Cricetulus griseus: one gene and its partners. The protein of the gene in region 6 interacts with the protein of the main gene of each other region in a pairwise test. Links are inferred from orthologs where the notes say so. Each region holds a gene or a part of one and is shown on either strand. Other genes may lie near its edges.

Region 1 (3,855 bases), on a different chromosome or scaffold from region 6:
GGACCAAAGAGAAGGAAAAAATAAATAAAAGGCTTAAGGGTGTAGATAAGGAGTAGAGTTTTTTTTTTTTTTAATTAGCTAATTAAGTAAATGTCTTTGTGTGTATGCCTAAGCATACTATGTGTACTATATATGTGCAGGAGCCCCCAGAGATGAGAAGACTGAATCAGATACCCTAGGGCTAGAACTATAGGTAGTTGTCAACTGCCATTTGGGTGCTGGGTATATAACCCATGTCCTCTGCAAGAGCAGTAAGCCTTACTAACCAACTGCTGAGCCATCTCTCCAGCCCCAAGGAGTAGTGTAGTGTTTGAAGAGGGATTTTTCTTTAAAGATTTCATTTATTTATTATGTATACAATGTTCTACATTTGCCTGCGTGTCAGAAGAGGGAAGAGGGCACCAGATTTCATTACAGATGGTTGTGAGCCACCATGTGGTTGCTGGAATTGAAATCATGACCTCTGGAAGAGCAGCCAGTGCACTTAACCTCTGAGCCACCTCTCCAGCCCAAAAGCAATGCTACCATACTGCTTCTTTTTTTTTGGGGGGGGGTGGGTGGGTTCAAGACAGGGTTTCTCTGTAGCTTTGGAGGCTATACTGGAACTAGCTCTAATAGACCAGGCTGGTCTCGAACTCATAGAGATCTGCTTGCCCCTGCCTCCCAAGTGCTGGGATTAAAGGCATGCGCCACCACCGCCTGTGATTTTTTTATTTTTCTCTCGAGAAAGGGTTTCTCTGTGTAACAGCCCTGGTTGTTCCGGAACTCACTTTGTAGCCCAGGTTGGCCTCAAACTCACAGAGATCCACCTGCCTCTGTCTCCCGAGTGCTGGGATTAAAGGTGTGCGCCACCACGGCCTGGTTTGAAGAGGAATCTTAAAACAGACAGACACTGAAACCTTACAGCCTTAGAGGGAAGAAGAGACATAGACAGGGGAGACGAAGATGAAGGAGTAATGAAGGCAAGAATGGGCACTGAGGGGATAGGTCAGAAGCAGAGAGGTTCCGGAAGGGTTGGACAGCTGTACTTGAGACAGAGAGGTGAGTGGATTGCAGAGGGGGGATGTATGGGCTGGGCACCTAGTAAGTCTGCAGATACAGAGAGAGAGAGGGACAGAGAGGGAGGGAGGGAGAGAGAGAGAGAGAGAGAGAGAGAGAGAGAGAGAGAGAGAGAGAGAGAGAGCGCCAACTGCTAAGTTAACTCATGTGCAGATTGACCATGTGAGGTACTGAGAACCCGGAGGCAGAGAGAGGGTGACAGAGACAGGAGTGTGACATGGCCTGGCTTTGCAGTTCGTGCATGCATTCCAGAGGGATCCAAATTGGTGACACAGGGAGTTGGCCACACAGGAAAGGGGGCCTGCATCAGACAGCGGAGAGGGCCATGTAGAAGTTGTGTGGCACTTGGCCAGGACGGGCAGACGGGAGACACTGAGAAAATGCTGACAGACTCACTGAAAGGAATGAATGAGGGAAGGCAAAAGTGAGCATGGGAGAGACAGGGTAAGAAAGACTGACAGACAAGAAAGAAAATTAAGGAAATTATGGAAAATTACGCTGGGTGTGGTGGTAGATGCCTGTAATTTCAGTTCCTTGAAAGGCTTAGACAGGAGGACTGCAAGTTGATGACATGGTCTTGTAAGATGGCTCCGTGGGTCAAAGTGCATGGTGTCCACCCGAGGACCTAGCTTGAGCTCAGGAGAGAACCAGTCCTTACAAGAGTCCTCTGACCTCCACGTACACACTGTGGTACAGTGCACACCCACACACCCACAGAAAAGAAATAACTAAGTAAGAAAGTTCCAGGCTTGCCTGGAATACAGTGAATTTGGAGTCGGCCTAGGTAAGTTAGCATGTCGTTGAATTAAACTGAACTAAAGGGTTGGGGTGTCACTCTGTGTGGAGCGCTACCTAGCATGTGCCAGGCCCCTGGGTGTGGTGGCTGAGGCAGGGGAGTTGCCTTAATATTGAAGCCAGGTGGGCTGCTTAGTCGGTTTCAGGCCAGCTTGGGCTAGAGAGTGAAACTGTCTCAAAAACGAACCCAAATCGTAACACTAATTGAGATAGGCTGTGAACAGAGAAACTGTATCTCAAGAGGACCAAGGTCACGTTTTAGGGCATGGGCCAACAGTAAAGGGGGGTCTCCGAACCATTAGCCTCTCTCCACAGAGGGGGGCAATCCCTGGGCAGATCCCAGCCTTGGGGGTGACTGGGTCCCCCTGGCCCCACAGGTCGGTGACGCGGAGTTATTACCGAGGGGCAGCTGGAGCCCTGCTGGTGTACGACATCACCAGGTGGGTGCAGGGTCTGGGTGGCACGGGAGAGGCTGGGCACGGATGGCCCCACTCCTGGGCTGCCTCCCTCTTCTGTCTGTTCTTCACAGCCGAGAGACATATAACTCGCTAGCGGCGTGGCTGACTGATGCCCGAACGCTGGCCAGCCCCAACATCGTGGTCATCCTCTGTGGTAACAAGAAGGACCTGGACCCTGAGCGTGAAGTTACTTTCCTAGAGGCCTCCCGCTTTGCCCAGGAGAATGGTGAGGGCTTTGCTGTGGACCAGGTGGAGGGATGGGCCAGCCCACTGTGGCCCACTGTGCCTCTTAGCTACGGGTGGATGGTGGTACCTTAAGCGCGGAGGCCTCAGCAGGCCTGCTTTCACTCGAAGCACCGAGTCACGTGACTGCCGTGGTCTTCAGGTTCAGGGAGAAAGAGGATGAGCAGTGTGCTGGCCACGGGAACTGCCCATCACACCCTTAGCTCCTCCTGGTACAGGGCAGCTGCTGGTCAGTCTCTTACACAATGGGGAGGCGACATAAAGCAGGGGTTGAAAGTGGCTACTGCAAACTCAGGAGGCGGTGGAGATAGAGACCTTTGTAAATGAAGGCTAGCTTCAGACTCACTCTGTTGCCCAGGCTGACCCGGCTCTCCTGACCTTCTGTGGGGTCTCTGCCTCCCCTGAGGACTGTAGAGGGTGTACAGGCATGGCCAATTCATGTCCTCCTGCCTTTCAGACCCCCAGGTTTAGAAGAAGTTTTGTGGCCAGGCAGCTGTGGGCTTGACGGGAGGCCCTGCCATGTGACCTCTGGGTGGCTGAGGCGGGCTTGGGGCTGTGCTCAGTGAGTCTGGGGTCAGTGCTCAACTCAGGCTCGTAGTGCAGAGGCGGGCCTGCACAAGAGCCCTTTGCTGACAGTGACATCAGAGAGAAGTCACTGCTAGGACAGGGGAGGCACGGGAGACTCAGGCTGGGTCCTCAGGGTTTTCTGGGGCAGAGCCAGGGGAGCTGAGTTGGGAAGGACGAGGTCGGTGAGCTAGCTACACGTGTAGGTAGGGGACAGCATTCCCCACAGGGGAACATGTGTCCAGTGTCTGAGGTAAGGGCAGGCACGGGTAGAGCTTCTAAGGAACCCGGAGCTGGAGTGGTGGGTGGGGACTGACAGAGCCCCTGCCCCTCCAGAGCTGATGTTCCTGGAGACCAGCGCTCTCACGGGTGAGAACGTGGAAGAAGCCTTCCTGAAGTGCGCGCGCACCATCCTCAATAAGATCGACTCAGGTGAGGCCCATCCGCTCTCTGAGAGCTTGGGGGCCGGGGGCTGAGTAAAGGCCGTCTCCAGGGCCTCTGAGGACCACTTCTGGCTTCTCCCCGACCACAGGTGAACTAGACCCCGAGAGGATGGGCTCAGGAATTCAGTATGGTGATGTATCCCTCCGCCAGCTGCGGCAGCCTCGCAGCGCCCAGGCCGTGGCCCCTCAGCCCTGTGGCTGCTGAGACCTGCAGAGCCAGGTGGGATGCTGAGGGCTCAGGAGGCAAGAGGGCTTTTTGTATTGGGTGGGACAGGGCACAGAACAGCCATCAA
Region 2 (2,969 bases), on a different chromosome or scaffold from region 6:
CACACCTGCCTGACAGAAAAAAGCTCCCAGAGGAGTCACTGGTCAGGGGCAGGTGTGTGGAGGGAGGGTAGCATCAAGATTGGGTTATTATAAACTAGTAAGTGAACACTGCTATTAATTTTAAACTCATTTAGTTTCATATATGTAATCTGTCACATAGTTCTACTCAACATCCAAAATTCAGGCTCAGGTGTCTCAGAGGTGCAGAGCACCCAGGTCTTGGGTGACAGCCTGTATCTCAAAAACAAGTAAAAAGCTCATAGGGTGAGCTCTGGCCTCCATATGCTACACACCTGCACACATGTATTACACACATACATTTTTGTTTTGTTTTGTTTTTTGTTTTTTGAGACAGGGTTTCTCTGTGTAGCTTTGGAGCCTATCCTGGCACTTGCTCTGGAGACCAGGCTGGTCTCGAACTCACAGAGATCCTCCTGCCTCTGCCTCCCAAGTGCTGGGATTAAAGGGGTGTGCCACCAACGCCTGGCCACACACATAAATTTTTAAAATAAGACATCTTTCCCCCAGTCAGGTGTGGTGGCATATACCTTTAATCCCAGCATCAGGCAGGCAGGGGCAGGTAGCTCTCTGAGTTCTAGGCCAGCTTGGTGTACATAGTAAGTAATAGGCCAGCCAAGGCTACATAGTGAGGCTGTTTCAAAAACCAAAATAAGCAAATAATAAAATACTTTTAGTGAGTATATTTTTGCTCTTCACAATGAAGATACAGTTGCACGGTACGTTACACTTTGCCCTTTTCCACTTACCATGTTTGGGGAGCACGGACTCATGGCCATTTTCTTGGTCCTCAGGTGAGCTGGACCCAGAGAGAATGGGCTCTGGCATCCAGTATGGAGACGCTGCCCTGAGGCAGCTACGGTCACCACGGCGTACACAGGCCCCAAATGCACAGGAATGTGGCTGTTAGGCATGCCAGCAACACAGGTGGGTGCTGGAGGCCCTGCATGCTGGATAGAAAAGAGTTGCAAAACTGCAATGGGAGGGTTGGGGAGCCCAGGAGAGGAGATCCACATGGATAATCAGAGACCTGCCCAACAGCACTGGCCCTATAGGAACTCCTCCCAGCCATTCAGAAGCAAAGGCAGAGCAGGTACCTGCTGTGACAGAGTTCCTGCTCCTTAAACCTTGGAGTAGACTTGGCCTAACGAAGACCTCCATAGGAGCATCTCTGAAACCAATAGGCACTCCATTTTTGTTTTGTTTTTAAAGATTTATTTATTTATTATGTATACAGTGTTCTGTATACATGTATCTCTGCAGGCCAGAAGAGGGCACCAGATCTCATTTCAGATGGTTGTGAGCCACCATGTGGTTGCTGGGAATTGGACTCAGGACCTCTGGAAGAACGGGCAGTGCTCTTAACCCCTGAGCCATCTCTCCAGCCCTTGTTTTTTGTTTTTTTGAGACAGGGTTTCTCTGTGTATCTCTGGCTGACCTCATACTCGCTCTGTAGACCAGGCTGGCCTGGAACTCAGAAATCTGCCTACCTCTGCCTCCTGAGTGCTGGGATGTGTACCACCACAGCCTGTCTATACTTTTGATAGCTCTTTCCCATTTACCACAGTGGACTTTTTTGTCAAAGAAGCTGAAGCAGGAGCTTACTATATAATATAGCCTAGGTGGGCCTACCACCTTATGGCAATCCTCCTGCTTCAGCCTCCCTAATACTGAGATTCTGAGTGTAGGCCATCATGCTCAGCTCACCATGGCATTATCTAGCAGGGTAAACCAGTGTTAATCCAAAGGTGAAACTGTCTGTCCTGTCTGTTGGGCCATGAGCTGTTTTGTGTTTACAACCACACAAGTATCTAATCAAGTATCTAACATTTCTCAGGTTCAGTGGTGGTTTCTGGAGCACAGCTGCTGGAGCTTGAAGAGTCTGAAGTTTTTACAACCATCTTTTCTACTCTGCACAGAAGTAGATCTTCATGGGGGAAACATCAGTGCACACTGGCAGACAGGGCTCAGCAGCCATACTGCAAACTAACTCAGCGGACAATACCTTTAGATGCCACATGTATGCAAAGATCCCTACCCCACATCCCTACCCCTTCATGTTCCGTTAAATCAAGCTTGTGCTGCACACAGCCCAGCACGTTCCTACAGCACAGAGCCAGTGTGACATGGTAGAATCCTGCACTCAAAGAAGCTTTTTTTTTTCAACTCACAGGAAATGCAGTTTGTGAATGTGAGCGTGCTTTTCTCATTGTGTTGGTTACACATATGACTCAGTATCAAAGGACTCTGGCGCTAACAGTCAGTGCGTTTCTTATTTAATCCCTCTTGTCCTTTTTACACTGTTTCTGTGATCCACACCTGAAATGCTAAACCTACAGGACGCACTAACATCTGGAAATAAAGTGGAACCAAGTTTCTCGTGCACAGTACACTAGACTGCTCTGTGGACTGTAAGGCTCTTAACTGAGGTCAGTGCAAGAGCCGCTGTGGGCCCCAGTCAGCCTGCCCGGCTTCCATATCACCCTTGACCTCCACTGTCTGTCTCCCTGCTAGAAGACCCATTATAAGAGCATCACTGCCTCTTTTTCCACATCTTACATTATTTTGCAGTCATTTTCAGGAAACTCACTACCTCTGGCAAAGGATACTACTTAAGAAATCTTGGGCTCAGTAGTAAAGTGCTTCACTCTACATGTGCAAGGCCCTGAGTTGGATCCCCAGCAAGCAACTCCCCACCATACACATTACCATCATGCACGGTGTGGTGGTACACATCTATAATCCCAGCACTCAGTAGGCTGAGACAGCAAAAGGCTATCAATCATGACCTCAAGACCATCCTGTGATAGACTGGAGTGAGTACAGGGTAGAGGTGGATCACACAAAACTTCTTTGTAGCTCTTCTGGAATATGTAAATGCCTTTACTGTATACAGTTATCAAGCTAACCTGGTTTTTGTTTGAGACAGGATCTCACTATGTAGCCCTGGA
Region 3 (4,485 bases), on a different chromosome or scaffold from region 6:
TTTCATGCCAACACAGCAAAACCTGTGAGGCTTGAGGATTTTGCCATATTTTTATGCTGCTAATTAGCAGCATCATTATTAAATTCTATTTGCAAACAAAATGGACCAGAATGTGGAAAAACCTATGCCAAGTCTATCCGACACTCGAAGTGGGTTCTTTCATGTAACTGATTGTATTGCTCTATATTTCTCAGAGTCCGTGTTGTATCTGCGTGGTGTTGTTGCAGCAGCTGCAGCAGCTGCTGATGGATGACAGGATCATAAGCTGGGGCAGGCCTGGGACTCAGTATGTAGCTGGGATGACCTTGAACTTCCTATCCTCCTGCCTCTATGTAAAATGACAGGCATGCCCCACTACACCTGCTTTGAGCCCATATTGTATTTGAATTATTTCTCTACTTTGAACTCCCTGTTTATTATACATTGCTTTTTCTTAAAATTCTTACCCTTTCTTAGAACTTTATGACTTAGAAGATTGTAATTTCTTCTAAAATAAGGTCAATTTTTGGAGTAGAAGAATATAGTAGTACAGCAATTAAGGAACTACTATTGTAAATGGATTGGAGAGATGGCTCATGGGTAAGAGTGCTTACTCTATAAGCAAAAGGATTTGAATTCAGATGCTAACAACCATGTAAAAACCAGGGTGAGGTTAAATGCACCTGTCATTGTAGTGCTGTTAGGGAAAGAGACAGGAAGATTAGCTGGGTCTTGTTGGCTGCCAGCCTAGTGGTGGGTTCAGTGAGAGACCCTGTCTCCAAGGAATAGGGTAGAGAGTGCTGGAGCAGGACACCTGACAGCCTTCTCTGTCTTCCCCAATGTGCACACACATGTGCATACACATGTATGCACATGAAAATAACGCTTATAAGTTCCATCATTCTTCCATATTATTGGTTTATTTATACATTCCCTCATTCCCCATTTTAATTAAAAAATAATGCTAGTCTGAAGCTCAAAAATGTTTTTTCTCCTTGATGTTTTTGCTCCTTGCATGTTGCTCATTATCAGGAAAAAAATACTTTAAGAGGGATTTTACCTAATAATGTATTTATATTAAATTATGCAAATTGAATTTTTACATAAAGATTTAAAATAGCTGAGGGAAGTAACTATTATGAATGATTTTTAGTAAGCACAATGGTTCTTGCATTAAATATTTTAGCTTTGAAAGAGAATGTCTATATGTGTGTACTTCAAAGGACTGTGAAGTCCACACATGAAAATCTTAATACAAATTAACAAATATATTCATACACAAAACAATACCATGAATTAACTCAGAGGATTTCAGCAATAAAAGATACTACTAAAATATGAAGATTACACCCAAAATATGACAGTAACATGACTTGATTTTTAGTGTCAGTGGTATATGATAGTTCTTTTTTTTTTTTTTTTTTTCTGCGACAGAAACTAACTAACTGGTACCTATATAAGAGATATCTTTATTGTTAATCTGTAAGTGGGTTCATTACATAAAACCTAACTGTTCTTCCCACCAGATACCACTCCCATATGGAGACTAATCACCCTAAACAGCTTTCAGCTGAACAGCCAAAACCCCCAGGGGACAATTCATCACTCAAGCAAAATGGCCTGGGAAAGCAAGATGGCCAGCAGCCCTCAACCTCACTCGAAGTACCAGAGCAGGAGACAAGTGTATGCCCTGAGAAGGGCACCCATGACATCTCTGAAGAGTTGAACCGACAGCTGGAGGACATCATAAACATGTATGGGTCTGCTGCCAGCCCCACAGAGACAGAGGGTACCACTGAAGCTAAGGAGCAGCCCGAAAACACAGAGATGCTGGACAATGAGGATGGGGACTGTGAAGAAACCACTGAAGAGACAGACAGAGAAGCCACTGCTTCTGAAGAGCCAGCCTCTGCCAAGGAGCCTGTCAGCAATAAAGAGCAGAAACTGGAAAAGAAGATCCTAAAAGGGTTAGGCAAGTATTATGTCCTCATATATGACTTTTCTCTTAATTATCCCATTTGCTTTAACTTCACTAAAAGCCATGTCTAATACATTTGAATTAATATAATATCTTCCTTTGGGGCTGTATTTGTCCCACGCCCATTCCTTTAAATAAAACTAAAGTAAAATTTTAACACAGTGCCTATCAACTCTACCTATGTGGCTTCCCGATCCTCTTAGAGAGAACATCAAAATTCTTGTGACTTTTTTTTTTAGTCCCTTAAACTGATCTAACCCTAACCAGTTTAAGCTTGATCTCATTTCACGCTATCCCGAGCATCTTTCTTTCTCTTTCTACCCCTGATCCCACCACTAGTGCAGTCATTTATTCTCATCTTGCATTTTGGTTTTCTGAACTTCCTTGTTCTCTTCTCCAAAGGCGCCTGCACATTCTACCTAGAAACCTCTGCCCACTTTGCTCTGCCACCCTTCCAGCCTTCTGAGCAGAGAACCCCTACTTAGCATTTAACTCAAAACCAAATGGCAATTTCTAAGCCCAATTCTAAAGTTGTAACTTCTTTGAGTCTGCATTGTACCATGTTTCCTTTTTTCATAGTACTAGCCAGCATTTTGAATTATACATTTTGGAGGAGAGTATTTGGTTAATATATCTAATTCCCAATTGAATTTTTTTCAATATCAAAATCAATGTATGTGTGTATGGGTACAAAATAGGAGATGACAAATTAAAAGCTCAACAGATATTTGCTAAGGATGAATTATATGAATTGGAAATTTAAAGCAATCCTAGTAAATAAGCAAAATATAGTAAATAGGGATAAGTTCATTGATAAAATAATTATCAGTTAGATCACTTACTATAAAATATTTTTGATTAAGCACAGATCACAAAAAGTGTGGTTACATTTGCCACAAATGACAGAAGACCTATAACTGCACTCATCTATTGTTAGTCTCATGATCATGTGTTAAGGCCTGCTTATGACACACTGTGCTGGGAGCACAAAAAGAGATGATCCTTTGGTTAAGGGCCTCTTGGTACAGATAGAAAAGCAAACACATGCACCATGATGCAGCAGAAACAGGCAGAGGAGAACATGTTTTTTTTTTTAAGAGCATTGAGGATTGGTAGCACCAGCAATAACTGTGGATGAAGGGAAAGAATGCTAATTTTGAAGCTATGGCTGAAAACATTACTATATAGGAAAACCCCTCAGTCTGTCCCCAGTAGTGACTGCCACTACAGCGATCACTTCAAAGACTACTTCCCATGTAAGACTGAGTTAGCATCACCTTTCTCACGTCTCCATTAAATTTTCTCCAGCTTCCATGCTAGATGGGTGAGCTCTCAAGGAGTAACCACACCTTGTTCATTTGTATAGTGTGATAGAGTGAAATACCAAGGGCATTGAGTCTGAACTTTGTTCATACTCCACACGCTCCAGTAACAGATTTCTACCTGTAAACATTAGAATAGGGGACCATTGTGGGCATAAAACTCATTAAGAAAAGGATTTCCAGCAATACACCTGACACCCCCCACCCCGCTGCCACACACACAAAGATCACAACATTTAATATATTTTCACATTCCAAACATGCAAGTCTGAATCATTCTAGAATACCAGGAGTCATCATAATGGCCTTCTGTGTTAAAGAGCAATTTTTCACTTTTCTAATCAAATCATCTTGGATGTGCCTCTTGGCACCGTTACATTACGGATCCAGGATGTTCCTGAACCATTGTGCATATCCTCCTAAACCATTTATATAGAGATTTCTGTGTATTGGCTATACTAAGGGACAAAGCAGGAGGAAAATAAGGGGAAATTAAAGACAACCAACTGGAGCTTCTACATACTCTCCCATGAATTATTTTATAAATCTATATAGTACTTACAATTACCAAATAATTAGGACAGTTTTTTCAGAATGAGAAAAAAAAATTACTTTTTTTTCCTGCCACTCTCTACAAATTACCAAGCTCCAGCCCAATGCGTTTGGCTAGAATTTCTGTTTGTGCATCAGAGGCCAACTCTCAGCATGTGTGGGCTGGTGGCCTTTCTGTGCTATCCCACTCTATATCATTAACATATTCTTCTACACACAGTACAGTCTCAGCTACGCTCCTAGTTATAACAACATTTTCAGGCCAGCCTACACATAAAACCTCCACTTCCAACTTAGCTGCCTACAAGTGGCTTTAGGAAACTTCTTGGCTACTTGATCATTACATGGTGCTGCAATATTGTCTACAAACTTGACTGTGTGTTTAAACCAAATTCAGAGCTTGTCAAAACTCTGCCGTGCACAGAGATTCAGAACTGGTGCACATAAAGCCAGCCCAAGGCACTGTGACAATGTGACAGAAAGCAGGTTGTAGAAGAAAAGGGTGCTCTGGCTTCAGAAACTGTTTCTTCCAACCTTAGTGTTAAGTTCTGGTTGTGGGCTTCTTTGGGCAGAAGGAGGTTGCCAGACAAGGTAAGGCTCTGCCTGCCATTTGTGGTTAACTAGTAGATATTTGTAAGTCTTTTTATAAAAGAA
Region 4 (3,855 bases), on a different chromosome or scaffold from region 6:
CCCATAGTGGACCAAGCACTCCTCCAGGGGTTAAAAACCTAAGATGAGGAGGGTCTGGGCATGGTTCATATGGAGCCTGCAGTTCTTCATCCTTTTACAACCAATATATTTTCCTTGTAATTATTCTACCAGTTTCAATAGGAAATCTGCTGTAATGACAGATCCTGACTGGATGCGGTAATTCACACCAATAATCCTAACACTGGTGGAGGTTGAGGCAGACTCTGCGGGACAGAGAGAGGCCAGGGCACACATCTCCAGGCCCCTAGAGGCCCAGGCAGCAGTGCTGTGCAGTGCGATAATGGATGGCTGGGGTAACTAGCTGCAGCTTCCAGAAGTATCTACAAAGAGCATTTCCATTCCTTTGTAAGGACACTAACAAGTGCCGTGCACTATGAGTCTTGTGAGTGGTTTTTCTTTTGTGGGTCCAGAGCTGTTTTTAGTCATTTACTTTGTGATAAAATTCACATTTTAAAAAAGGATGTCACTGGAAGCAGATAAATCAATCCCATTTAGAAACACTCTCTATGGAAGAGCATGTTGTTTTAATATCTAACCACTGTAAACTAATAAAAAAAAATCTCAATCCTCTTTCAGAATAGCATATTCATTTTCTTAACTTTCTGAGTTTCTGAGTTTCACCACAGGGACATAGAGAGTAAAATCCAGCCTGCAAACTGCAGACAATACAGCTGGTTCACCAAGTAAACTGTAAGGACGAAAAATAGAGAGGGGGGATCAAAGAGATTCAGAGGGAGTAACCAAGATGGCCCAGTGGATAGAGGGACTTGGTGCTAAGGGCTTGATGACCTGAGTTCTAGCTCCAAGACTTATGGTAGAAGGAGTGAACCAACACCTATGAGTTCTCTGAACCTCTACGTGTGTGCCGTAGCAGGCATATGAACACACTAACAAATGTAATTTAAAGAGACCCATCACATATTCTGGGTTTAGGTCCCATCACCGAGACTCTTGCTTTGGGGAGCTGGACAACACACCTCAGCTCCTGTTTGCTGAATGGAAAAGTTAAGACCAAGTGATTTCTTTTTGTTTGTTTGTTTGGTTGGTTGGTTTTTTTTCATCTTTTTTTTTTATTTGAATTAGAAACAAGATTGTTTTACATGAAAATCCCAGTTCCCTCTCCCTCCCCTCCTCCCCTACAGCCCCCCCAACTAAAACCCTACCTATCACATATCCTTTCTGCTCCCCCCTGGAGGGTGAGGCCTTCCATAGGGGGTCATCAGAGTCTGCCATATCCTTTGGGATGGGGCCTAGGCCCACTCCCGTGTAAGACCATGTGATTTCTAAGTCTTAGTATTGGAGCAGGACCAGATAAGAAGTGGGTGGAGCCTTGCCCAGGATGCAGCACATTGGCATCTGGACAACCTCTGCATTAGGTCGTCTTTCTCTGGGTGTCAGTCCTAAACCCTGGCCATCCCAGAGTGCAACCCACCATGGATGGGGACACAGGTTCTAGGAAGTGACTGCCTTTCTTGAGGACTGTAACTAGAACGTGAAATTATGGGATTGGAGGGAAAGACTAGATACACACAAAGACAGCCAGGTGGGCATGGTAAGATCCTAATTCAGTTTCATAAACTTAAAGAGCATTGGAGTTTTGGGCCAATTTCACATTTGATTCTGCCTGATATGAAAGAACAGACTGTTAAGACACTATAAAGGGTATTCTGGGGGAAGAGAGAAGGACAGAAAAGGGGAGAGGGCCCCTTAAAGAGGAAATAGAAACAGCCATTTCTCACCTTCTAAGTGTTCAGGTATATTCATAAAAGTCTCTGTGCATTTTCTTGATTTCCCTCTCTGGCCTTATCTCTTGGAGCACAGATGATTTAAACACTCTAAGCTTACTCAGTGAACACAGCTCTCTGGCCCACCCTTGGCTGCCGCCTTTGCCTGGGAGTCCATCTTGTCCAGGATTTCTGGCTTCCATCTACCCTTCAGTATTTTGTCTCCTTTGGAAGGTCCATCCTGATACAAGCTGCCCACCTCCCAGCAGGTTAGGCACCCTCCAGGACATTCCTCAAGCATGTCACTACACTGTACTATAAATATCTGTTTATTTTTATCCCCCTACCCCATATGTGTGTGTTCTGAGAGAAGGATGGTTGTGTGATTTAATCTCTGACCCCCAAGGGTAAGATACAGTGAGTAATCTTTTTGTTGTTGTTTTTGGTTTTTGTTGTTGTTGTTGTTTAAGACAGGGTTTATCTGTGTAACAGTCCTGACTGTCCTTGAACTTACTTTGTACTAGGTTGGCCTCAAACTTACTAATATCAAACTGCCTCTGCCTCCCAAGTGCTGGAATTAAAGGTGTGCACTACCACACCTGGCTAACTGCTTACTTGAAACTTTAAGCAATGGACTTTAGGGGTTGGGAGAGAACTGTGAATTTAGTGAGCTGTTTGTTGGTCAGTACTAGTCAGAAAGGAGGTGCCATGGGTCACAGACATTCTCAGGAGAGAAGGACTGAGGGAGTCCAGCACAAGCCGCAGCTGCCCTGTGAGAAGGGCGGTTCATGTTTCTGGGTCACTCTCCCTGCAGATTAGAAGCCAGATGTATCAGGAGGAAGACCGATGCACTGAACAGGAACGCATGAGGATTGAGATCTCCGACCTCACGCAGGAACTTCACCGGAAGGAGATGACTATAGCAACTGTCATGAAGAAAGCTGCCCTTCTGGAAAGGCAGCTAAAGATAGAATTAGAAATTAAAGAAAAAATGTTAACCAAGCAACAGGTATGCGGGCAAGAAAACACTTTCCAGGGCTTGACTGTTGCTCAATGCTCATCCTAGCCCTCCTCCTGCACTGTCAAGAAAGAGCCTTGGGTGCCCCTGGGTCAATGTTTGACACCTGGTGACAGAGATACCTTGTGGTACCCCCTTAAGGCCCGTGCCATGCCACAAAGTATCATCAAAGGAACACTAGAGACCTACAGGACCACACATGCAAGGGCAACCAGTCCCATGCTGACCCTCCCCTGTAGCTGTCTTCCCACACCTCATACAGCCTGCTTCCTTCTGCAGTTGTTTTCAGTAGGACCTTTCCACTAACACTCTGCCCACATACACACACACACACACACACACACACACACACACACACTTAATGTATTGCCATTAGTGTTTTAAACATAGAGGCTACAGAATAAAAGTTGACCCATATTTACTAAACATCCATTCAGCATACAGTATGTCCTCAGAGACAAGCAGACATTTCGAGTTTCTACAGTTAAGACACTGCAAGGAGCCAGGCATTGGTGTTGCACACCTTTAATCCCAGCACTCTGGAGGCAGAGGCAGGCGGATCTCTGTGAGTTCGGGGCCAGCCTAGTCTACAGAGCGAGTGCCAAGAAACCCTGTCTCGGAAAAAAAGAAAAAAAGACACTGCAAGGGATGCTCATGCCCACCCTCCCTCCTATTTATGTTTTAAAGTTCCCTGCTTTCTTGTGACTAACCAAATTTGTAACCTGCTTTTAACAGCACAGGCTTTATGGCCTTTTCACTCTAAATCTAAGTGATTTTGGAGCACAAAACATGAACCAAGACAATCTCCACAACAACAGTTAAATCGTGTATGTGTATTTACAAAAAGGAAAGATTAGGCCTCCATCCAGTCATAGGCCTTAGACTGTACCACACACAGGAGAACAGCAACAGGGCAGGCACTACCTGGGCAGAAGACTGTGCAGATGGCCAGAGTGAGCAGCTGCACATGAATGACACTCATTTTCGTTTTCATATTGCCATGTTTCCTAGACTTTGTCAATGAGCGTATATTCTATAATTTACAAAAGTAAATCTTTTTAAAGCAAGAGTTTGAAATCGAAATGAACCTTA
Region 5 (4,560 bases), on a different chromosome or scaffold from region 6:
TAATTGGGATCATATTACTTTTAAAATATTTGATTATCATTTAACATTATGGTGTGCAATTCAGATTTTTTTTACACATTCTTGGGAAATGAATTCATGGATGTTCAAGGTTTATCATGTACCCAAAGTAAGTTTATTAAGTTTTATTCAAATCTTGTATTATTATTGTGTATATGCCTGTGTTCATGTCAGCCACAGGACATGAGATGGGCAGACACAGCTTTCCAAAGTTAACTTTCTCCTTCTACCATGTGTTCCAGGGCTGAGATGGAACTCGGGTCATCAGCTTGGTTAGCAGGCAGGGGCTTTTTTACCTGCTGGGTTTCCAGTCCTTGTAATGTATTAAACAACAAATTGCAACAATAACAGTAACTGGCTGTAAAACACACAAAGTAGTTTTTTTGTTTTGGTTTTTGGTTTTTCGAGACAGGGTTTCTCTGTGTAGCTTTGGAGCCTATCCTGGCACTCGCTCTGGAGACCAGGCTGGCCTCGAACTCAGAGATCCGCCTGCCTCTGCCTCCCGAGTGCTGGGATTAAAGGCGTGTGCCACCAACGCCCCGCACAAAGTAATTTTTAAAAACGGTAAGACATGCTTTAAAGTAAATGTCTGCAAAATATGTATCAAAATGCTAACTCATAAAAATGTCTTGTTTAATTTGAAAACAATATGCAGACTGCACCCGCTTGCTACAAGGACTCCTAAAGATGCAATTACTGAATTCTCAGAGCCTAATGAAAAAGTATAACCTGGCATAACCAAATAACTGCAAAGGCCAAAACATGTAAACCAAAAACATAATACCTCAGGGCAGGAGAGATGGCTCAGTAAATAGGAACACTTTCTGCTCACACAGAGGACCCCCCAGTTCAGTACTCAGCACCCACGTTAGGCAATGCCCAACTGCCTGTAATTCCGTTCCTAGAGATCTGATGCCCTCTTCTGGATTCTGATAGCATTTCATACACACACGCACATACGTGTATGTACAGGCAAAGAACCTCATACACACAACACAAAAGTGTTTTTCAAAAACCTTAATACCTTTTACAAACAAATATATTTTATGGGGAATGTGGCAAAGAAAGCCTGTCTGATATTAGGTGCAGAGCTAGAAATGTAGCTCGGAGTGCTTGCCTCACCTACTCGAAGACCTGGGTTCCATCCCCAGGCTGGAATAAACGCAAGAATTGGGAGCTGGTGGCAGGAGAATACCAAGTACAAGATTACCCTCCACTACTCAGCGAGTTCAAGACCAGCCAGGGCTGCACGGGACGCTGCTTAGAAAACTACTGATCAGGCTGATTACTTTTCTCTCCTTACAGTGCAGAGATCTGGAGCGGCCTCAGGGAGAAACGCGGGGTCTTGGCCCTCCACCGATCTGAAAGTGCGAAGACCCACAGGTGGTCCCCGCGCGCGTGGAGCTCGAGACGCCCTGAGAGTACGAACCGCCTGTGAGGCCCGGCGCCACCGGCTTTGATCACGGGAACCCCTCCCCTACCGCCCGGACTTTGACTCAACTCCTGATAACTGTTTGCCAACAAAGACCAACCGCGAGCGAGGGGGAGGAGCCCGGGCGTCGGATATCGCGAGAAGTGGCCGCCCGAGCGATGTGACAGGCGCCGGCGTGTTGCTGCTCCGGACCCTCTCCGAGGGAGGAGCTATAGTCGGAGTACCGGCTGGACCTTTGGGGTAAAAATCTCGCGAGATTTGATCGCGTCACCTCGAGCCCTTCCTGTCAGCCGCCGGAAGTGCGAGCTGCTGAGCGTCCGAGTTTCTCGCACTGCGGTTCTCCTGCGACTCTGGGCCCGCGTTCCTGTCGCAGGCTCCTGGGCTCGCGCGTCTGGCCGCCTCCCCCGGGGCGGAAATAATGGGGGACCCCAAGGAAGCAGGAGCCGAGGCTTCGCCTCCAGGGGCGGCCGCCCGAGGAGGGCTCAGCCTCCTGTCCCAGGCGGAATCCGAGGAACCTTCTTCTGCCCAGGTGAGGCTTCGGGACCTGCCGGGACTCGGGGGTTTGCGTGCCCGCCGGACCTGGACGGGAGATCGCGGGGCTTCTGGAGCTTACTTCCACGCCTCCTTGGCACCTCTGGTTCGGAAGGAGTCACCGGGTGTGCCTGTCGTCGGGTTTGCAGGTGTTTGCTTGCAAGGCATTGATGCAGAACACACCTGGTTTCCCACGCGCGGGTAATTGATGGGACTGGTTACCGAATGTGCCACGGCCTTCCGAGGGCGGAGGAAAAAGGGACAGTGCCAGGGAGGGCCTCACCTAAATCTTGACTGAGCTGATACCTTGAAAGGCGCAAAGTGTTTGTCAAGCCTAAAGCGGCTCTAATGAATGTGAGTCCGGACTCTGAGCTTGCACCGGAGTGTGTTGTCTCAGGATGAGTTTACGAATCGATCAGTCGCTGTAGGTTTGATAAAATAAACACGACCCAGTATCTTCCTACAGTGTCTTCGATGTATGCTAAACTAAAATATTCTATTAAACCCGTTCACCGGTCTTGCTCATTTTGCATGCAGTTAACGTGACACAATTAAGCGCGTTTGGTTTCTGATGCTCCATTGTATGTGACTCAACAAACTGGGTAGTCATTACTGGTGTGGAACTGGTTGTGTAGACCAGTGAGGCTGGCTTTAGACCTCGCAGTGACCCTTCTGTGTCTGCCTCCGCGGTGCTGGGAGCGCACGTGTGCAACCACTATGCCCAGTATTTTAAAAAGCAGTTTGGTTGGCCTTTATCCACTTCTTAGTTGATCCTTTTCTTTTTTACATTTAATGGAAAACAGCTAGGTAAGCATAATTGAAGCTTGAGTCTAAGTGTTACAGCTGACTGGCAGCATAGGCTCCTTGTGAAGCCTGATTTGGTGGGTTCTTGTATGACGGTGAGATTGTCATTCCCAGCAATATTCATTAAGGCTTCGCTCCCTGTGTTAATTAGGGATCAGCTTTATTTCTTGGAGGCAATGAAGTGAAAAGCCGAGCCGTGGTGAAATATTCTTCTGCCCCTCCTCGAACAGCATTTGCACGTCTTGAAGAAAAAACAGACTTGAAACTCCCACCTGCCAACTGGTTACGAGAGAGTGCCAAACTAGGGCCAGCAGGAACTACCATTCTTGGCAATAGTAAGAAAAGCAAGCCATTTTCGAGGTAAATTTTAGTCGCTGGCATTTCTTCCCCTCCCCTTAAACCCCCAGTTAAAGCTGCTTCCCAGTTCAGTTTGAGATACACATTAATTTGTTCAGATATGTTTAATAAAAATTTATAGCTGTCTTTCAAATTCATGGTGCAATAAGATGACATTGGAGTTATATGCTTTCTTTAAGTCTGTAGCATGTTTTAACAAACATGAATATTGACTGCTAATAAGCTGTTTTATCCATTTGTATGTGCTCTGAATATGTGCAAATAGGGTGGTGTGTAAGGAGCAAGACCTGAGCCACTACTTAGCTTGCTGTCTGGAGTTTTTGTTTGTTTGTTTGTTTTCGAGACAGGGTTTCTCTGTGTAGCTTTGGAGCCTATCCTGGCACTTGCTCTGTAGACCAGGTTGGCCTCGAACTCACAGAGATCCTCCTGCCTCTGCCTCCCGAGTGCTGGGATTAAAGGAGTGCGCCACCAATGCCGGGCAGCAAAGTGGGCAGGGGTCTTTATCTTTTTGGTTTTGGGGGGTTTTTTTGTTTTGTTTTTGTTTTTCAAGACAGGGTTTCTCTGTGGCTTTGGAGGCTGCCCTGGAACTAGCTCTTGTAGACCAGGCTGGTCTCGAACTCACAGAGATCCGCCTGCCTCTGCCTCCCTAGTGCTGGGATTAAAGGCGTGCGCCACCAACACCCTGCTTGGAGTTTTTATTAAATGGTGATGTAGTATTTGAAAAAGCCTGAGGTTAAAAACTCCACATGCTGGGTAACCTACATCTTTGGCCCACAGTGGAAATTCTACTGGTGATATTTAAAGTTAAGAGTGTCCTTCGGTCTTAGCTAGTGTCCATATTCTTGTTGACCATTTACTGTGTGTTCTTTTTCTTCCCCTGAATGATTGGACTTAAAATATTTTCATATAACTTATATGGCAATAACCACAAACATTGATACCCTATGAGCTAGTAGTTTAGAAATTATCCAGATGCCTCAGGCTAAAAGCCATGTTCACAAGTTGTTTATTTTTGGATTTTTTGTTTTGTTTTTTTTTGGGGGGGGTTGAGACAGGGTTTCTCTGTGGCTTTGGAGGCTGTCCTGGAACTGGCTCTTGTAGACCAGGCTGGTCTGGAACTCACAGAGATCCACCTTCCTCTGCCTCCTGAGTGCTGGGCACAAGTTGTTTATTTGTAGCATTTTTGATATTATGAAAAGTCTGAAAATAACCATATATTTTTATTATTTTAAAAATGGCTTAATTGTATTAAATGTGAGTTGGTTTAAATAGTTATGTTTACTATATAAATACTATGCTAGATTATTTTTCTGTGTTTTTTACAACCATCTTTTTAAGATAGACACTATTAACAATTTGCAAATGAGGAATCAAGGTTAGCCTGTTTATGCAGAGTAGATGGAAAATCATATTAAACA
Region 6 (3,855 bases):
CTTTTTATGAAAAGGGGAAACAGATCCAGAAGGGTTCCAGTTCCATCTTTTGGTGTCAGAATGTGGTTGCCTACCACACAGAATAGTAGGAGATGTTGAGGAAATGCGGGTCTGAGATGATGAGATTTTGAATATTTTTGAGGAAAGAGTGGATAGAGTATGATGAATGCTGTGTGTAATTTACAGGAGAGGGTAACCCTGAACTAGAAGACCACAGGGAACACAACTTTAACTGTCAGAGGGAGGGCAGGAGGGAGACCAGGTTATAAGAAAAACTATTGGAAGTGTTCATGTGACATGGTCAAAGGTGGGGAAAGAAGGAGAAGGTAGAGCCCAGACTGTTGTTAAGTTTTAAAAAGCGACTGGAGAGAGAAAGACCATGCAACAGAGTTCAAGCAGGGGGCTTTTTTATTAGGGGGAAAGAATCATAAAAAGTGGAAAGGGGAGGGGGGATATCATCGGGTTCAGGAGCAGTGGGAGAGAGGAAAGGGGGGAAGAGAGAGAGAGAGAGAGAGAGAGAGAGAGAGAGAGAGAGAGAGAGAGAGAGAGAGAGAGAGAAGGATGGAAGGTGGGCAGGACCCTTTTAACAGGGCACAGGTGATGCTCTTAGTGGCAGCAGCTGAGGCATATCCTGTCAGGGTTCCAAAGGCAGGCCAGTACAGGTGCCTAAATACTAACAGGTGCTTTGTTGATTCATTTTTATCTAAATGAACCATGAGGATGGTTAACTTTGAATGAATTTTATTAAACTATTTAACAAAATTCTATAGAATCATTGCTGATTTATTAAATGACAGTTACTTTTATTCATGTGGTATATATAAAATCATTCTTTTCTTTTGCCCAGCTTTTTTCAAGGTTGGTTCTCATTTATTTGTGCCTTCCAATTTTAGGAATTCCATCATCAGATTCTAGGAATGCAAATCTCTATTTTTTGGATGTTGTACAACAGGCCAATACTATTTTTCATCTTTTTGACAAACAGTTTAATGATCACCTTATGCCACTAATAAGGTTAGTTGCATTTCATATTTTCATTGTTATTTCAATGAGTATTATGCTTTTATTATTTTTTAAATAATACGTGTTTATGAAACACCAAACAGGACAGTAGGTTTGAAACCAAAGTCTTTTCTTCCTTCCTTGAATTCATTGAATTCTTGTTTTCTCTTCCCACTGTGCTGTTAATTTTGATATATTTGAAAAGTTTTAAGTATCATAAACCAATTGGAAATCTAACATGAACAAGGCTTTCCAGCCTAGTGCAGCTCAGCAAATTCACATCCTTCAGAAGACAGAACAGGTACCAGACATGGTGGGGCACACCTGTACTCCTATCTACTCAGGAGGCTGAGGCAGGAGGATCTCAAGTTTGAGGCAGTCTAGTCAACATGATGATTTCAAAGTCAGCTTGGACAACTAAGACCCAGTCTTAAAGGTGCTTTCTTTTGTTTGTGTTTGCTTTTTGTTTTCCTTTTTCTAAGGGCTGAGGATAGGAGGGGTATATAGGAGGGCTTTGGAGGAATAAAGGGAATAGAGAAATTATGTAATTATATTGTAATCTCAAAATAAAATTTAAAAGTTCTTCTTTTAAAAAAAAGTTAAGGCTGAGCTCAGTGGTAGAGCTTGCTTTAGTATCTACAAGCTCCTGGGCTCACTCCCAAGTAACATGTACACATAGACACACACACATATACACACCAATAGACACGATACACTTGTTATAAAGACATACAAAAAAACATGAATGGACAAATTTTGATAATGCATTAAGATTTTATTCATATCTTCATATTAATTTATATGGACTTCTAAAGCATTTGAAATTAAATGGAGTAATGTATAATATATATATTACATAAAATTGTGTCATTAGCACAATTATCTATACAGGAAATGTTCAGATAAACTAGAGAGTTTCATAGTTTTTTATAAACAGTTCTATGACATGTCTAGACGAGAAACAAGCTCACAGATCACTTATTATTCCTGAATCATACTTTGAAAGGAAATTTACTGTTTTGCTGTGTAGCTTAGGCAGGTATTACAGGCATGAGCCACCAAGCCCAGTTTAGGAAGTTTTCTTAGTGAATTATTTTGTAAAAAGCTGCATGTCATAACAGAGAATTCACAGAGGTGTTAGTGTTGTGTATTCCTTAATGTTTTAATAGTATTCAGAAGCCTACCATGGTTATTAGGTTTTGTATCTTTTTATTTTAAAAAAAGCTAAATGTAGCAGGATTTACTTACTACTGTCCACATTTTTGTTAGTAGGATTATCTGTTACTTTTCTTACTATTATACCAGATATTTAGATACAGAGGAAACTAGTTTCAAATTTTCAAAGTGCTATCTCCTCAGTGATTAGAGTAACAAGTCTGTTTTTTCTTTGCTTTTAATGGGTTAATTTTTTTAGTATTAATGAATTGGGTATGTTAATGTACATAATTGTATGTAATGATTTATTTTATAATTATTGTGTATATGAGCAAATAAAAATAATGGGTGTTACAGTCTATTTACAAATATGTATTCATGTTGTACAGATTAGAAACATAGAAAGTAGGCTATTAATGGGAGTTTGTTTTCCTCCTTAATAAACAATAGCTCTTCTCCTAAGTTATCTGAATGCCTTCAGAAGAAAAAAGAGATAATTGAGCAGATGGAAATGAAATTGGATACTGGCATCGATAGGTAAGTTAACTGTTTTTCTCCTGCATTTTTAATAATTGTAGAAGTGCATTTGCATTGCAGCATGAACATGGTTTTTATAAAAGAAAGTATGTTTATTTTTATTCTTCTGGCTGTAAAGTTGACACTTTAACACATTGTTCTTATTTTCAGGAGAATGCTATTTTTATTAATCCCCAAGGTGTTTTTTGGTATGTTTTTCTTTTCAAAGTTAGTATGCTTAGATATATTTTCAAATCAAAACAGTTACAAAACCCTTTTAAACCCCACTCGTCTGCACCACACATGTACAAGCTACAAATTCCTTTAAAATAAGATGTTGGGCTGGGATGTAGTTCAGGGGTAGACCATTTTAGAGTGTGGGGAACCCTTGGTTCAATCCTAAATTCTGCTGAAGCAACAAAGGTATTCAGTGTTTGTTATATTTCCATTTAATGTGCTCTGGCTTATCTATGAAATATTTTAATAATTGTATTGGTTTTGTATATGTAACTTCTGCTAAGTGAATTTTAAAACTTTATAATCTTTACTGAAGACTATAAATACTATTACTTTCCAGGTTTCTATTTTCAGAACATGGTCTTCTTATATTGATTGAAAATTAGTATAGCCCCTGGTTATCAAGTATTTGCTGATATATCAGACACAGTACAAGGACTGTGATGTGATCTATATCCTTTAATCTCAGCATCTTACGTTGTTCTACTATCCTTTTGTAACTTGACCTCATTATTGTTGTGCTTAATTATGTGGTCTGTTTCTTGAATTTAACATTAAGCTTATCATTTTGACTGTCTTGCAACTACTAAACTCTGAATTAGTGTAGTCTTTTTTTTATCCCCATAAGCTTGCTGTTGGAGGATGTCACATGAGTTAAATATTATTGGTGCCTTCTAATCAGTGCCTTTATTTTTCAGCTGGGATTTAGTACCACTTTTCCATCTTCCTGATTATTTTTTGACTGTGGGACTCAATGTGCTTGCTACCACAGCCATTCTTTTTAAGCCTTTTATCTTCCACTTTCCTAAATATTCTCTATGTATGGCTTTGACTTAGATCCTTACTTATGAAGTAAGTAACTAGTGGTAGGTTTCCAAGATCCTTTCAAGGGAGAAAGATGATAAAACCAGGAGCTCTTTGATTTGATCAAGTCATAGAATGACT
Region 7 (4,465 bases), on a different chromosome or scaffold from region 6:
CAGGCTTTTCTTTAAACCTTTTATCTCCTTGAACACTGGATTTAGCGCCATTACATTTCCCTGTGCTCCCTTTCTCAAACTGTACATTCAGCATTTCTCCTTGCCCACTTGCTTTTCACTGTAGATGTACAGAAGAGGGACTGCTAGTAACCAACACAGTCAATATTAGGTGATCTTGAAATCTCCCCTACCGATGCCATTAATCCAATTTGCTTCAATTCACCTCCACCAAAATTTTACAACGGCAGAAAGCGGCCACATTCTTTGTCAAAATATCACAAGAATGATCTCGAGGCCACTTACCAATATCCCCTCTGATATTTCTTGAGCTAGGCTTCCACAGTTCAAATTGCCCTCAGCACTGTCTTCCATGCTTCTCCTACCTCCCATTAAGCACAAGGCACAAGGATGGATACATTAATAACATATAGCAAGACGTTTTCTATAGCAAATAAGTTGATTATTTTTCTCCTGAATTTTTTTTTTGAGGGGGTGGGTGGGACGAGGTTCAATATATATTATTGGGCGGGGTAAAATAAAAATTAAACGTAAATATAAAACAAACCCATACCCAGGTTCTACAAGGAAAAAAAAAAAAAAAACTACGGTGAAAAAGACTTAAGACGAAGAAAGTAAAACTGTTGCTTTCACCGAGGTGTCTTGGGAAGGTGGGAGTGGTGGCCAAACAGTGAAAATGTTGTTTCCCTCTTCCTATCGAAGGTCCGCAAAGCAAGTTTAGGAGAGACAAAGATGAAACACTAGGCAGAAAGGGCCTGCTCCTAATTAAGACAAGTGGGTTGGTCAATGAGAGCCGCCTCTTGGCCTCTGACAGCACAAGAAGCCTCTCTGGGTGTTGGCCTGCCTTGTTCCCGGTAATCTCGAAGTGACTGGTAAATAATGAATAAATGCAGTAAATACGTGAGTGTCGCAGAAGCCAGTATACAGAAGCGGCCAAGTGAGAAGCAGATACGAGTATTAAAAACAGGTCTCCAAACGCGGTATTTCTGGACCCAGGGACCCCTTAGAACACAGCGTGCGAACCTGCGCAGCAACTTCCCCGGGAGGCGAGGGCATGCGACTGCGCTTGCGCAGGCCACTATCCCCGCCCTCTTCAGGCGTGAGGGCCAGTGGGGCGGGCCTCGGCCAGGGCGGGTCGACTCCAGAGGGGCGGACTGGGGAAGGGGCGTAGCCGTCGGGTCGGTTTCCGCCACCCGCTTCCGGGCTCCGCTGGCTGCGCGCGCATCCTCCCCCCTTCTTTTGTGGTCCGGCCCATTGCGAGGGTGACAGGAAACCCTGTGCAGGGAGCGCCGCCATCTTGGACCAGCCCGAGGAAGATCCTGAGGGAGCCGCAGGGTCAGCTGCCGCCACCGCCGCGACTGCAGCCCGAGTGTCTGCAACCTCAGGCCAGCCCGCCTTCCTGCTGGGGTCTCGGCCGACGGGTCCCGGCCGCCCTCCCGCCGCGTCCGCGCTCCGCTTCCTCGTCCTGACGTCCCCCTCCCGTCCGGAAAGCTGCCCAGCCACCAGCAACCCCCCAGGTAACCAGGGCCTTCCGCAGCGGCCGCCCGTCGCCGTCCTCCGGGCCCGGCCCTGCCGAGGGGCGGGGGCGAGCCGGCAGGTAGGCGGGCGCGCGTCCCGGGCAGTCCCGCAGGCCGCGGCCAGCCCGTGGTTGGCGGAGGGCGCCGCTCTGACAGCGCTCTGGGGCGAGCTGTCGCCCGCGCCACCCGGCCGGGCTCGTGCTCCGAGGGTGCGGGAAGGGTGTGTTCCGGCCTCCGCAGGCCCGGGTCTCGCCGCCTCTGCCCGCAGCTGCACATCACCCCCGCAGCGATTCCCCACGCGTGTCACCGTCCCGCCACCCACGAGCCCCGGCTGGGCAGTCCTGCCCCACAGGCCTTACCTTTCCGGCATCCCGGACTGGCTCCCGTGTCCTTGCGGGCACCCGGTTGTACCCCGGCCGGGGATACGGTCGCAGTACTGTTGACGAGGTCTTCGCTGTAAAGTCCCCGGCCAGCCTGCGCGGTTTAGAACCTAACACTACACAGCATCGAGAAATAACGAGGGAGAAAAGTTTGGGCATCTTGAGAATTTGAGAAAAGGAAGTGGCCCGGGGCTGCTTGGAGAGTTTGCACTGCACTGTGTGCCAGGCACGGGTTTAGGTGTCTTCACACGTATCTCGCTTCAAGTGCCTTTGGAGAGTTTTACGCATTTTTTATAAGGACTAAGGCCAGAAGTTGCGTGTAGCTGAGTAATGATGGCACACACAGACTGGCTTCTCCCTGCGCTGGCTGGTGTATTTTGCACCACACTACGTTCAACGAGGGTTGGATATGCAAGACGTGACCGTTTTAGAGCAGTGACAACTCAATTCCATTTTTCCTCTCTTTGCACTGGGTGATAAACAGATAACATCCAAAAGCTCTCATGTCAGCTGCTACACTGGTAGATGCTCATTGGAGGAGAGATGGTGGTAGGATTTGCTCTATTTGTGAAGAAAGCTGTGTTCTTGGTGGCTGCCCAGTTAAGTGCTAGAAACTCTTGGAAAGTTTACGGTTCATGGCATGTTGTTCTAACTACCTTTTATGTAAATGTGATCACTGAGGACAAGTTTGACCCCACAGTAATCCAGCTCCCTTTTTTCCCTTCCTTTCAACAGTTTTTCTCGGAAATTCACTGTAACTAGGAAGTGGCAGTACCAGAATAGGAATCCAAGCCATCGAGACTCCAAAACCTTAAGCTACACACCCTCAGGCATGAACAAGTAAAATCGCTCAAACAGTACTGCCACTTCCTAGTTACTTAATTAACCCTAACCAGGTAAGCTATCCCCCCACCCCCCCCAATTCAGTGTCCTTATTTGTAAAGGGAATAATCGTGCCCACATTTCAGTTATTTCTAGGATTAAATAGGACTTAAAGAAAGCACTTAGTACTTTGGTTGGCATGTAAGTGCCACAGTAACTCTTAATTTTGCTAGGCAAAATGGGTGTTTAATAGCTGTTGAATGAAAGGAGCTTGGCTTTGGAGTAGACCCTGGGCTTAATGCTACCTGCTCATTAAGTAGTATATAACCATCAGTATGTCATTTCTGACCTGGTTTCCTTATTTGTAAAATGAATTTTTAGGATTAGAGATTGTTTATGAAGTAGCTGGTTTATATTAGACACTTAGTAAGTGGAGTTACTATAATATAAAGATGTAAAATCTTAGATTCTCATAGCTATTGAAAATTCCTTGGAATTAAGGATATTTTTCTTTAAAAAAATCTGCTGTTTTCATGTTAAATTTTATACTTGTAAACTTCAACTTTGCAAAAGAGCTTGGAAATTTTTTGCAGCCAACTTTGTAAGTATATATTTGCATCCTCTTACCAAGACGTGTAAGATAAAAATGTTAAAACTAAGCTATTGGGATGCTTGTGTCATTAAAAAATGTTAGCAACATGGGGCTGGTAAGATGGCTCAGTCAGTAAAGGTTCTTGGTCCAAGCTTGACAGCTTGTGTGAGATTCTGGAACCCATGTGGTAGAAGGAAAGAATGACTTCCTGCTTGTTATTCTCTGACATCCACGTGTGTGCAGGCATACACACAAATAGCTATGAAAAAAGCTGTGGCAGGAGACAAATGTTAGTATTAAGAGACAACTTTATTATATAAGTTTCCATAATACTAGATTATATATGAGATACCATATTTCAAACTTTTCAAAGTCTGCAAAATAAAGCATTATATTGAATATCAGTTTAATGAGCATTACTATCATATTACCCATCAGTTGGTGTCTGCAGTGAACAGTCTTGTTTTAGCTATGCATTGCTCCTCCCATCCTCATCTGTATCTCAGATATGTCAGGAACATTTTTACTCTTATAATCCTTTCAAATACAGGATTCATAGTTTTTTGGTTAAGTATTTTTATGGAAAAGAGGGTGAAGAATTGGAGTATTTATTTCTTCATAGCATACTATCTTTAGTGGGAAGGTTTTGTCTTTCTTTTGGGACATTGTCAAGCAACCCAGTACTTTTAAGAATTTATTTACATTAATTTACACAAAAGTATAACCTTAAATGACTTGTGGAAAGTTGATTTCAGAAATGAACATGTTGTTTTCAGAGGTCGTAATACTATTATGGGAAGGAAATTGACCATTTTGATTAGATTATTAGATTAACTATGAAAGTTTTATGTCCACCTGGCAGACAAGTTGAGTATCATTCCACTTCAGGAGCTTCTAAGCAAGAATGCATCCATTCTTGAGTTCTGTGAAGGCAGAGACAATGTTACTCCCTTTTTTGATAACTGTTAAAACCTTTAGTAGTAGTGATTTGTGCTTAGATACTAGGTATTTTCATATTGTTGGTGTTGGAATCACAAGAGTAGTCTTGTCTCCAGTAACAAAATATATAAATCAAAACCTAAAACTAAGGCAGGATATTAAGTCGTTAGATCACTTAAAAAAAATTGTTTTTTCCA

Evidence for each region.
Region 1: the proteins of Exoc5 (region 6) and Rab4b interact in binary tests that used the Homo sapiens proteins (3 or more experiments, as listed by UniProt). The two-hybrid records come from large-scale screens. The link is inferred for Cricetulus griseus from reciprocal best matches to the Homo sapiens genes EXOC5 and RAB4B.
Region 2: the proteins of Exoc5 (region 6) and Rab4a interact in binary tests that used the Homo sapiens proteins (3 or more experiments, as listed by UniProt). The two-hybrid records come from large-scale screens. The link is inferred for Cricetulus griseus from reciprocal best matches to the Homo sapiens genes EXOC5 and RAB4A.
Region 3: the proteins of Exoc5 (region 6) and Txlnb interact in binary tests that used the Homo sapiens proteins (3 or more experiments, as listed by UniProt). The two-hybrid records come from large-scale screens. The link is inferred for Cricetulus griseus from reciprocal best matches to the Homo sapiens genes EXOC5 and TXLNB.
Region 4: the proteins of Exoc5 (region 6) and Deup1 interact in binary tests that used the Homo sapiens proteins (3 or more experiments, as listed by UniProt). The two-hybrid records come from large-scale screens. The link is inferred for Cricetulus griseus from reciprocal best matches to the Homo sapiens genes EXOC5 and DEUP1.
Region 5: the proteins of Exoc5 (region 6) and Edrf1 interact in binary tests that used the Homo sapiens proteins (3 or more experiments, as listed by UniProt). The two-hybrid records come from large-scale screens. The link is inferred for Cricetulus griseus from reciprocal best matches to the Homo sapiens genes EXOC5 and EDRF1.
Region 7: the proteins of Exoc5 (region 6) and Rab14 interact in binary tests that used the Homo sapiens proteins (3 or more experiments, as listed by UniProt). The two-hybrid records come from large-scale screens. The link is inferred for Cricetulus griseus from reciprocal best matches to the Homo sapiens genes EXOC5 and RAB14.

Annotation. Positions count from the first base shown.
Region 1 is NC_048602.1:8,748,338-8,752,192, forward strand, and holds part of Rab4b (ras-related protein Rab-4B), read left to right. Parts: intron 1-2,231; coding exon 2,232-2,294; intron 2,295-2,383; coding exon 2,384-2,538; intron 2,539-3,455; coding exon 3,456-3,551; intron 3,552-3,651; coding exon 3,652-3,767; 3' UTR 3,768-3,782; intron 3,783-3,855. UniProt on the Homo sapiens protein: The small GTPases Rab are key regulators of intracellular membrane trafficking, from the formation of transport vesicles to their fusion with membranes.
Region 2 is NC_048596.1:200,514,304-200,517,272, forward strand, and holds the end of Rab4a (ras-related protein Rab-4A), read left to right. Parts: intron 1-812; coding exon 813-928; 3' UTR 929-945; intron 946-1,855; 3' UTR 1,856-2,408; downstream 2,409-2,969. UniProt on the Homo sapiens protein: The small GTPases Rab are key regulators of intracellular membrane trafficking, from the formation of transport vesicles to their fusion with membranes.
Region 3 is NC_048595.1:271,878,833-271,883,317, reverse strand, and holds the start of Txlnb (beta-taxilin), read left to right. Parts: upstream 1-1,518; coding exon 1,519-1,951; intron 1,952-4,485. UniProt on the Homo sapiens protein: Promotes motor nerve regeneration. May be involved in intracellular vesicle traffic.
Region 4 is NC_048597.1:129,075,929-129,079,783, reverse strand, and holds part of Deup1 (deuterosome assembly protein 1), read left to right. Parts: intron 1-2,559; coding exon 2,560-2,754; intron 2,755-3,855. UniProt on the Homo sapiens protein: Key structural component of the deuterosome, a structure that promotes de novo centriole amplification in multiciliated cells.
Region 5 is NC_048596.1:67,229,555-67,234,114, reverse strand, and holds the start of Edrf1 (erythroid differentiation-related factor 1), read left to right. Parts: upstream 1-1,743; 5' UTR 1,744-1,868; coding exon 1,869-1,979; intron 1,980-2,936; coding exon 2,937-3,145; intron 3,146-4,560. UniProt on the Homo sapiens protein: Transcription factor involved in erythroid differentiation. Involved in transcriptional activation of the globin gene.
Region 6 is NW_023276807.1:205,066,893-205,070,747, reverse strand, and holds part of Exoc5 (exocyst complex component 5), read left to right. Parts: intron 1-893; coding exon 894-1,014; intron 1,015-2,607; coding exon 2,608-2,694; intron 2,695-3,855. UniProt on the Homo sapiens protein: Component of the exocyst complex involved in the docking of exocytic vesicles with fusion sites on the plasma membrane.
Region 7 is NC_048599.1:147,001,423-147,005,887, reverse strand, and holds the start of Rab14 (ras-related protein Rab-14), read left to right. Parts: upstream 1-1,318; 5' UTR 1,319-1,535; intron 1,536-2,650; 5' UTR 2,651-2,811; intron 2,812-4,465.